Neurospora crassa OR74A: one gene and its partner. The protein of the gene in region 2 interacts with the protein of the main gene of each other region in a biochemical or structural test. Links are inferred from orthologs where the notes say so. Each region holds a gene or a part of one and is shown on either strand. Other genes may lie near its edges.

Region 1 (4,409 bases), on a different chromosome or scaffold from region 2:
GCTACTTATCACTTATGCCAAGCAGTTAGTAGCAGCAGACATCGATCCATGTGCGGGTGGTGGCTTGTGAGAGAGGGAAACGGGAAAATACAAGAAGCGAGTGCGAGCGATAGACAGGAATAAAAGGAAAATGCCAAGAGATGCTAGCATTTTGGACCAATGGGAATGGCAGAAAGGGCAGATGGAGAAACAAGGTTACACTCCCACGGCCCATCAATGGACGGCCGACTGGACTGCAACACCTCGCAGGGGCCACAGGGCTTCTTTTTGGGGTTCTTGGGAAAAAGTGACCTCCGCTGTGAGTGACTGGACCCGATCCGTTTGGGGTTCAAGTCGGGTTGGAGGTGATGCATGACTCCACACGGCGCGCACCGCTGCACGGCTGACTAACCGGGCGACCATGGGAAGAATAGGAGATGTCGATTCAACTTTAAAACTAGCGAGGTAATGAAAGTGAACCTTGCCTCATAGATAAGTTGCCCGCAGAGCTAAAGTGTTTTGAATTGTAAACTGCCGGTTTGATGTCAGGTTGACTTTTGGGAATTCACCCGTTGAGCGAGGAAACTGAAGCCGAGACTCAAAAAGAGGACAACACAGTACGAACCAGACGAGGGTCCCCCGTGCTCGCCGTGCTAGCGCAATGAACAAGATGCGATAAGAAGCGGAAGACACACGGGCCACCTCCAAGATCTCAGACCCCTTGTCAGGTACGAGCGCTCGTACCGGTACGTACCGTGATTCCAGATTCTCTGGATGGATGCTGCGCGACATTTGGAGCCGCGCTTGTGCGACCCACTTGGCTAGCGACACAATAACCGCGACGAAACTGAACTGAACTCTGCAGTGCAGTGGCCATTCCAAATTTCAGTTGCCGGTACGTCACACTCGTCAATGCGGCTGGTTTCGGCTGGTCAGCCACACGAACGTACCTTTGGAGTGAAAATGATGTCGTCGCGGCTACGATTTCCATTGTTGGAAGAACTTGAATTCATAGTGTAGCCTGGGGCCGGGGAAAGGCACACTCTGCTTGCAGTGGTAATACGTACCTAGGTATGAAATTACAGCACCAGATTGCGATTCCGAATTACGCTCTTTCTGCGTGCGTACTGCAGCCGGTGTGTTGATAGGCCCTGGCCGCATTATCTTGGTGTAACGTCGAATGACAAGATCTCAAGACACCCACTCACGCTCAGTACATAGGTAGGTATGTAACGCAACCACCAACCCGGCAAACACAAAGCACACGGCCGCCAAGATGCCATCAAGTGACTGACTGACAAAGAGGAAATCGACATGAGCTCACTTGGCATAGTCGACGAGAATGTCGGAAACAAGCTCATCTCATGCTGATCTCTTCCCTTGGAGACCATCGGACCAGCGGCCACAATCCATGTGCATGTTGGTATTCCGGAATACGAAACGCGAAACAGACGACGAAAACGGGGCCAAATGAAACCCCAAGCCGCGCACGGTACGGTAATGCACTGTAAATACTAGCATGAATACTGTGTACTCCCCGTGTCTTGGATCGCCGCTAATGCAGTGCTGGCTTACATAGTAGGTCGTTAAAGCCGCCGGGATCCGCCGCTGACAATTCTTTTCGTTCGGCAGGCAACTTGAAGGGAAGGAAGCCCCTCGTTGCATTTCTTTGAACTTTATGCCGGATGACCGAATCTGTATCAAAGAGAATCCACGGCTCCATCCACGGCTTTCTTTGAGCGCCGCATACATTATCCCCCATTATTCGCCATCACCATCATCATCACCATCAACCAAACAGTCCAACTCGTTCAACTCTGATTGACAAACGCCGATAACAAAGATACAAAACGACCGCGACACATCATAACGGCCTCAACACAATGGACGGCACTCTCGAAATCCTCGATGTCAAGGAACGCAAAGTGGGCGAGGTCAAGCCTCCCGCGTTCCCAACGCCGCCGCCTGCTTCCTCCGGAGGCTTTCCCGCTCCCAAGAAACGAGTGTCTGCCTTCAAAAAGCAGCGACAGCAACAAGCAGACCCATCGTCCTCGTCATCCCAAGCGACCACACCAGTACCATCACCAGCCATCCAGTTCACCAGCGGCGCGAGGCCCCAGATCGACGCGGACCCTATCAAATCCGAAAAGCAGAGGATTGACGAGGAGAACAACAAGCTCCTGAGCTCCATGTCGCCAGAAGAGATTGCCGAAGCCCAACGAGAGCTCTTCAGTGGCCTTGACCCCAAGCTTATCCAGATGCTTCTCCGACGAGCCAACGTCGAGGACGGCTCCAACAACAACGACCCCAAAGTCTGGGACATTCCCGAGAAACCGGCCGACGAGGAGCCAACGGAAAAGAGGGCCGACGTCGGCAGCGGTCCCACCATCTCCTACAAGAAGCCACCCTCCATCCAGACCTCGAGCTCGAAAAACGCATACGTACAAGACGAAGATGAGGAAATGACCGAAGACCAACCCAAGAAACCCAAAAAGACCGTCACCTTCAACGAAGACCTCGCCCCCGAACAGCCTCCCTCCGGCAGCTTCCCCATCCGATCCAAACAGCCACCCACGCCCTACCCCCAAAAGACCAGCTTCTCCGCCGAAGACCTTGCCATGCCCACCGCCGGCGGCTCCTCCTCCGAACCCCAAACTCCCACCACAACGCACCAATGCAACGACCCCTCCCACAACCACGGCGACGACGAAGAGCTCAAAGGCGTACACTTCCCCGCCGCCCCCGCCCCTCCCGACCTCGACCCTTCAGACCCCGACTTCCTCGCCACCCTGCACCAAAAGTTCTTCCCTTCGCTTCCCGCCGACCCCTCCAAGCTCGCCTGGATGGCGCCCATCCCCACCGAAGACTCGCCCGCCGACCAGGAATCCCCTTACTACCCGGGCCAGACCTCGCTGCCCGTCTCGGCGCTCCGCTTCGACTTCAAGGGGCGACTCATCCCGCCCCGTCTGTCGCGCCAGATTCCCGTGTCCAAGGGCCTGCATCACCACGGCGAGGCGCCCGAGGCAGCCGGGTACACGATCCCCGAGCTGGCGAGGCTGGCGAGGAGTAGTGTGAATAGTCAGAGGTGCATTGCGTTTAGGACGCTGGGGAGGATGCTGTATCGTCTGGGAAAGGGGGAGTGGGGAACGGGTGCGGGCGGTAGGGATGGTGATGAGGATGATTTGGCGTTTGCGCTGTGGAGGTGTTTTCAGGAGGGAAGGGTGTTGGAGAGTATCGGGGAGGCGGCGGATGTGGAGGAGGGGGTGGGCAGTGTGAGTGTGAGGGCGTATGCTATTGAGGCCATGTGGTTGTTTGAGAAGGGTGGGTGGAAGGAGAAGTGGAGAGGTTTGTGAGCGGGGTTGGATGAAAACGAAAAAAAAGAGAATATGGATAAGAGTCGTGGAAAACTTGTGCCTTGTAGTATAGTAGGAAATGGGTATGGGATGGGATGGGACACCGACCGACTGACCGGCTGGCCGGTAAGGGATAGGGTAAAATGGAAATGGATCGATGGGGGCGGATCACTGATTTTTTTTGGTTGGTGTTATTTTCCAGGTTTCATACCCCTCTGGTGGTGTCAAATTGCAATTTTTCATACTCATCAAGTGGCCTAACATTGTACACAAAATAAATTGTCTCCTTTGGTCGGGTCGGTTGCAGCTTACCTCGCCTATGAAGCTCGGGGTCTCTTCCTGCATACCCGCACTTAGTATATCCCATGCAGAAGAACTTCATTTCTTTCACTGTACATTATTCCTACAACACAATTTTCCACCGAATAACTAGTCTATATCACATCGATCCTTAGATTCTAGACATGCTGAATCACGATTTAGGTTCACTTTCCTATTTATATCTTCAGTGGCTACCTACTCCCTAGAAACCCCAACCCTCTAGAAAGGGAGTCCATACTTCAGTTGTTGAGAATTCAGACGGGCTATGATCAACCTGACAGAGGTATCTGATGTATCCGACCAACTCATGATATTTAATTTCTTCCTTCCGTTACTTCACTCTCACTTTCACTCCAAGTACTCTAGACTACTTATTCCTCTTCCTACAGTGTCCTACTTCCGTATGTCACATACTTCAATCATATTTCCACTATACGACCAGGCCAAGCAAGACTTGTTGTACTTGACATTACTATATATGCCTCCTTGCCTAGGAGGGAGTCTAATCATGACAAAGATATCTGTTTCGTATCTCTGATTAGATTGGGTACCTTGGAAGTCACCGAGTTGCAAGTTTGATCTTTGTTGAATCCTGGGGAGTACTGTAGCCTAAGTGATCTCCTTTCTAAGGGAGGCGTTTGCACTCTCACGAACGTTAGGCTAGTTACTTCTTAGGTTAGAGAGAAGATAGGTAGAGAAGACATAAAGGGTCTATGTACTGGAAGGCGCGAAAGAACAGATAGTGAGTTACGTACT
Region 2 (3,682 bases):
ATCTCATACCATGTCGCATAATACTCGTCTGTTTCTGCATCCTGGGGGGCCGCGATGGGCTTGTGGTCGAGGACAAGAGGGTTAAGAGTAATGACTTCAGAATGAGAATGAAGGATGTCGATGGCCAACTGTCGTGGAATGAAGCCCGGGATGGGCGTGATAACGGTGAAGGCTTCCTTCTTGCGCAACATGGTGGACATTGGATGCTGTGGGTAGATATGTAACACCGATAAATGAAAGTTTATTCACCTCTATAGAGGTGTGGGCAGGGTATAGTAGCCGATCTCCGAAGCCTGGATTTGATGAGTCGCTGGAATTTGGCCCAAGTCGGATGATGAATCTGGCCCTGGTGTGGGACGAGAGACGAAACAAGAGAGGAAGTGGGAGGGAGAGAATTCAAACGGATCTTGGGGGTCAGCTTGGAGTATAATGGATAGAACGTGGTAGAGGTAGGTTGGTAGGGCTGAGTATCATGAGGGGCAGCCTGTGGATGGCCGCTTGGTTCCCGGCCACGCTGCCTCCTGGTAGTGCCGAACAGACGGATCTTGCCATTACGTTTGTGGCTTATTGGACCAACCCAGCTCCCATCACCCACCATTTTGAAGAGAATTTTGACGCAATAAGAGGCCACCGGCTGCGCCCACTCCCCAGCGCGGGACCACCGACCATACGCTTAGCATGGGTTTAGCGGTCATTGGCATTGGTGAATCGCCCCCGCCAGCATCCTGCCTATAGTTCCTGACCTTTTCCGAAGATGACGTGAGACGCCTTTTCTCCCATCGCTTATCCCGGTCTCGTTCAGCAGTATCAAATTGCCACTCGACGACTCCCCGAATTGTCCAAAAAGCATCCGTATCCGGCTTCATTGCTAGGCGTGAAAGGATTAGTTGAAACTGGACAAGTGGACAGACTTCATTGAACAATAGCCTGTGAGGTCGATGAAGCCTTCGGGGCTTGTCTGCCCGCGGCAAGTGCTATGCCATCCAGCCGTTGAGATCCTAAAATATCCAGGCACCCATAATACCGGGGTATAACTTGAAGAGCGGGACCGCCAAGTTACTAGGTCGAGTGTCGACTAGCTACTGCGGCGGTTGAGGGCTGTGGTATTCGCGGATTAACAGCGGCTCGGCTGAAAACAAGAAGCTGTCAAGCAGGCCATATGGGCTTTTGATATAGGCATGATAACAGGGTATAGGTCGCCAACTGATTTAGTTCCAAATTGGTAAAAAGATGATGGATGAGATGCGAGCCGGCCAGATATGGATTGGATGTCGAGGAACATGAAGGCGTAGGTAGTTGGAAGATGAATGGGTGAGAGGATGAAAAGAGACCAATGTCGAGGTTTCAGTCATTTCACTTTGGGGAAAACAAAATGCCAAGCCTTACCTACCCTTCACCCCACCCATGCCTTGATGGATGGAACCTTTCCGCCCGCTACGCCAGGCGATCAATGGACTTTGGTTTTTTTTTGTTTTTTTTTTTCTCTTGCGGTGTTGCCCCTCTGTGGCCCTCGGACATTCACTCCGTCGCAACCACCTATGACCATCCCTACAGCAGTGACCCCGCCGCTTACGACATCCGTGAAACTTTCTTCCCGAGACTCATTACAACACCATCTCTGCGCAAACTGAAATCTGCAACAACTTTGATTTTATCCGACAGATAACACAGAGATCACCAAACGATCTTCCACGCACCCGTGCACAGCTGTCGCACCATGGCTTCGACTTCGGCATCGTCTGCCGCCAAGGCTGACCAGCCTGTTGCCATCGTCTGCGTTGGCATGGCAGGTAGGTCTACGCATGCTCATGTTCTGTGCTTTTCCCAACCGCAAGCGGAATCATCCAGCTGACCATGTTCCCCAGGATCCGGCAAGACAACCTTTATGCAACAGATCAATGCCCATCTCCACGGAAAGAAGGAGCCTCCTTATGTCATCAACCTCGACCCAGCAGTCACCCACTCGCCCTTCGAGAGCAACATTGACATCCGCGACTCGGTCAACTACAAGGAGGTGATGAAGCAGTACAACCTCGGCCCCAACGGCGGCATTCTCACATCGCTGAACCTCTTTGCCACCAAAGTCGACCAGGTTCTCGGCCTGCTCGAGAAGCGCACGGCGCCCAAGCCCGACGACCCGACGCACACGCCCATCAAGCACATTCTCGTCGACACGCCGGGCCAGATCGAGGTGTTCGTCTGGTCCGCGTCGGGCCAGATTCTCCTTGAGTCGCTCGCCTCATCCTTCCCCACCGTCATCGCCTACATCATCGACACCCCCCGGACGAGCTCGACGTCGACCTTCATGAGCAACATGCTGTACGCCTGCAGTATCCTTTACAAGACCAAGCTGCCCATGATTCTGGTCTTCAACAAGTCGGACGTTAAGGACCCGGCTTTTGCAAAGGAGTGGATGACCGACTATGATGCGTTCCAGGCTGCGCTGCAGGAGGACGAGACCAACAACGCGTTTGGCGGAGCGGAGGGCAGCGGCGATGGCATGGGCTCGGGCAGCGGATACATGGGCTCGCTGTTGAACAGCATGAGTCTGATGTTGGAGGAGTTTTACGCACATCTGAACGTGGTGGGCGTCAGTTCGCTGTACGGGACGGGCATTGACGAGTTCTTTGCCGCGGTTCAGGAGAAGGCAGAGGAGTTCAAGCGCGATTACCAGCCTGAGCTCGAGAGGAGGCGCGAAGAAAGGGAGGAGAACAAGAAGAAGGCGCGGGAGAGGGAACTCAACAAAATGATGAAGGGAATGTCGATGGGCGACGCGGCGGGCGACGTCACAGTGGGTGACGTCAATGATAAAGAGGCCCCCGAGCCGTTGAGCACGGACGAGGAGAGCAGCGACGAGGAATATGGTGACGATCCCAACGACGAGTATGACCGCGAGGGATTGCAGGCGAGGTACGCCGCTGCCATGCAGGGCGAGGATGATTCGGTTTTGGCCGACGCAAGTTTTGCAAAGTACCTCCACAGCCAGAGGTGATGAGATTGGCCATTGGTAAGGAAAGGATTTATGGAGCAGTGTTGGCAAGACAAGTGATCGAGAGGGAAGGAGATTTAGCATACAACCGGCGTTTTCAGAGTGATACCATACCAATATTCTATATGGCAAAAAACATGATCAATAATGAGAAGCATCACAGAACGGATCCATCTGATGGTGATAGGTGATGATGACGATGATGAAAAGCAATGCTTTCTTTGTATAAATTCCCACAAGTCTACCGATATTTCCCAGAACGCCGCCATCATGATATTGTGATGAATATGATATCTCCCTTCTTCTGATCACAACAAGCCGTAGGTTCAAGGCTGGGCCATGCTAAGCCACCGCTAATGGTGCAAAATCACACCAAGATATCGACGGTTCGAGTCTCCTACGGTCCCAGCTCCCCTCGACAAATGTTCCCGTTGCCTCCAAGGCTGACTCGGCTCCCGTCCTTGGGCATCAGGACATCCCGGCCGGTCCAAATACGATGAAAACTTCAGCCCGATACGGCATCGAGGAAGAGCGACCCCTTTCTACACCTCCTTTGTTGGCCCCAAGTCGAACAAAGTCGAATAAGAAACCATTTACCGAGCCTCGAACTGAACCATTCTATTACCCCCAGACCGTCGTTAGCATAAGATTTTTCTCTCCCACCTTCTCAGAATCTTCCACCGGGTAAGCCCA

Evidence for each region. The genes of interacting proteins can lie anywhere in the genome.
Region 1: the proteins of NCU04507 (region 2) and NCU06859 form a complex in vitro, tested with the Saccharomyces cerevisiae proteins (2 studies listed by BioGRID). The link is inferred for Neurospora crassa OR74A from reciprocal best matches to the Saccharomyces cerevisiae genes NPA3 and RBA50.

The regions. Positions count from the first base shown.
Region 1 is NC_026507.1:530,048-534,456, forward strand, and holds NCU06859 (hypothetical protein), read left to right. Parts: upstream 1-1,626; 5' UTR 1,627-1,862; coding exon 1,863-3,332; 3' UTR 3,333-3,780; downstream 3,781-4,409. UniProt on the Saccharomyces cerevisiae protein: Forms an interface between the RNA polymerase II enzyme and chaperone/scaffolding proteins, suggesting that it is required to connect RNA polymerase II to regulators of protein complex formation.
Region 2 is NC_026504.1:3,142,661-3,146,342, reverse strand, and holds NCU04507 (ATP binding protein), read left to right. Parts: upstream 1-1,470; 5' UTR 1,471-1,717; coding exon 1,718-1,790; intron 1,791-1,865; coding exon 1,866-2,992; 3' UTR 2,993-3,162; downstream 3,163-3,682. Other genes in the region: NCU04506 (hypothetical protein), read right to left, coding at 1-200; NCU04508 (hypothetical protein), read right to left, coding at 3,583-3,607. UniProt on the Saccharomyces cerevisiae protein: Small GTPase required for proper nuclear import of RNA polymerase II (RNAPII). May act at an RNAP assembly step prior to nuclear import. Promotes sister chromatid separation during anaphase.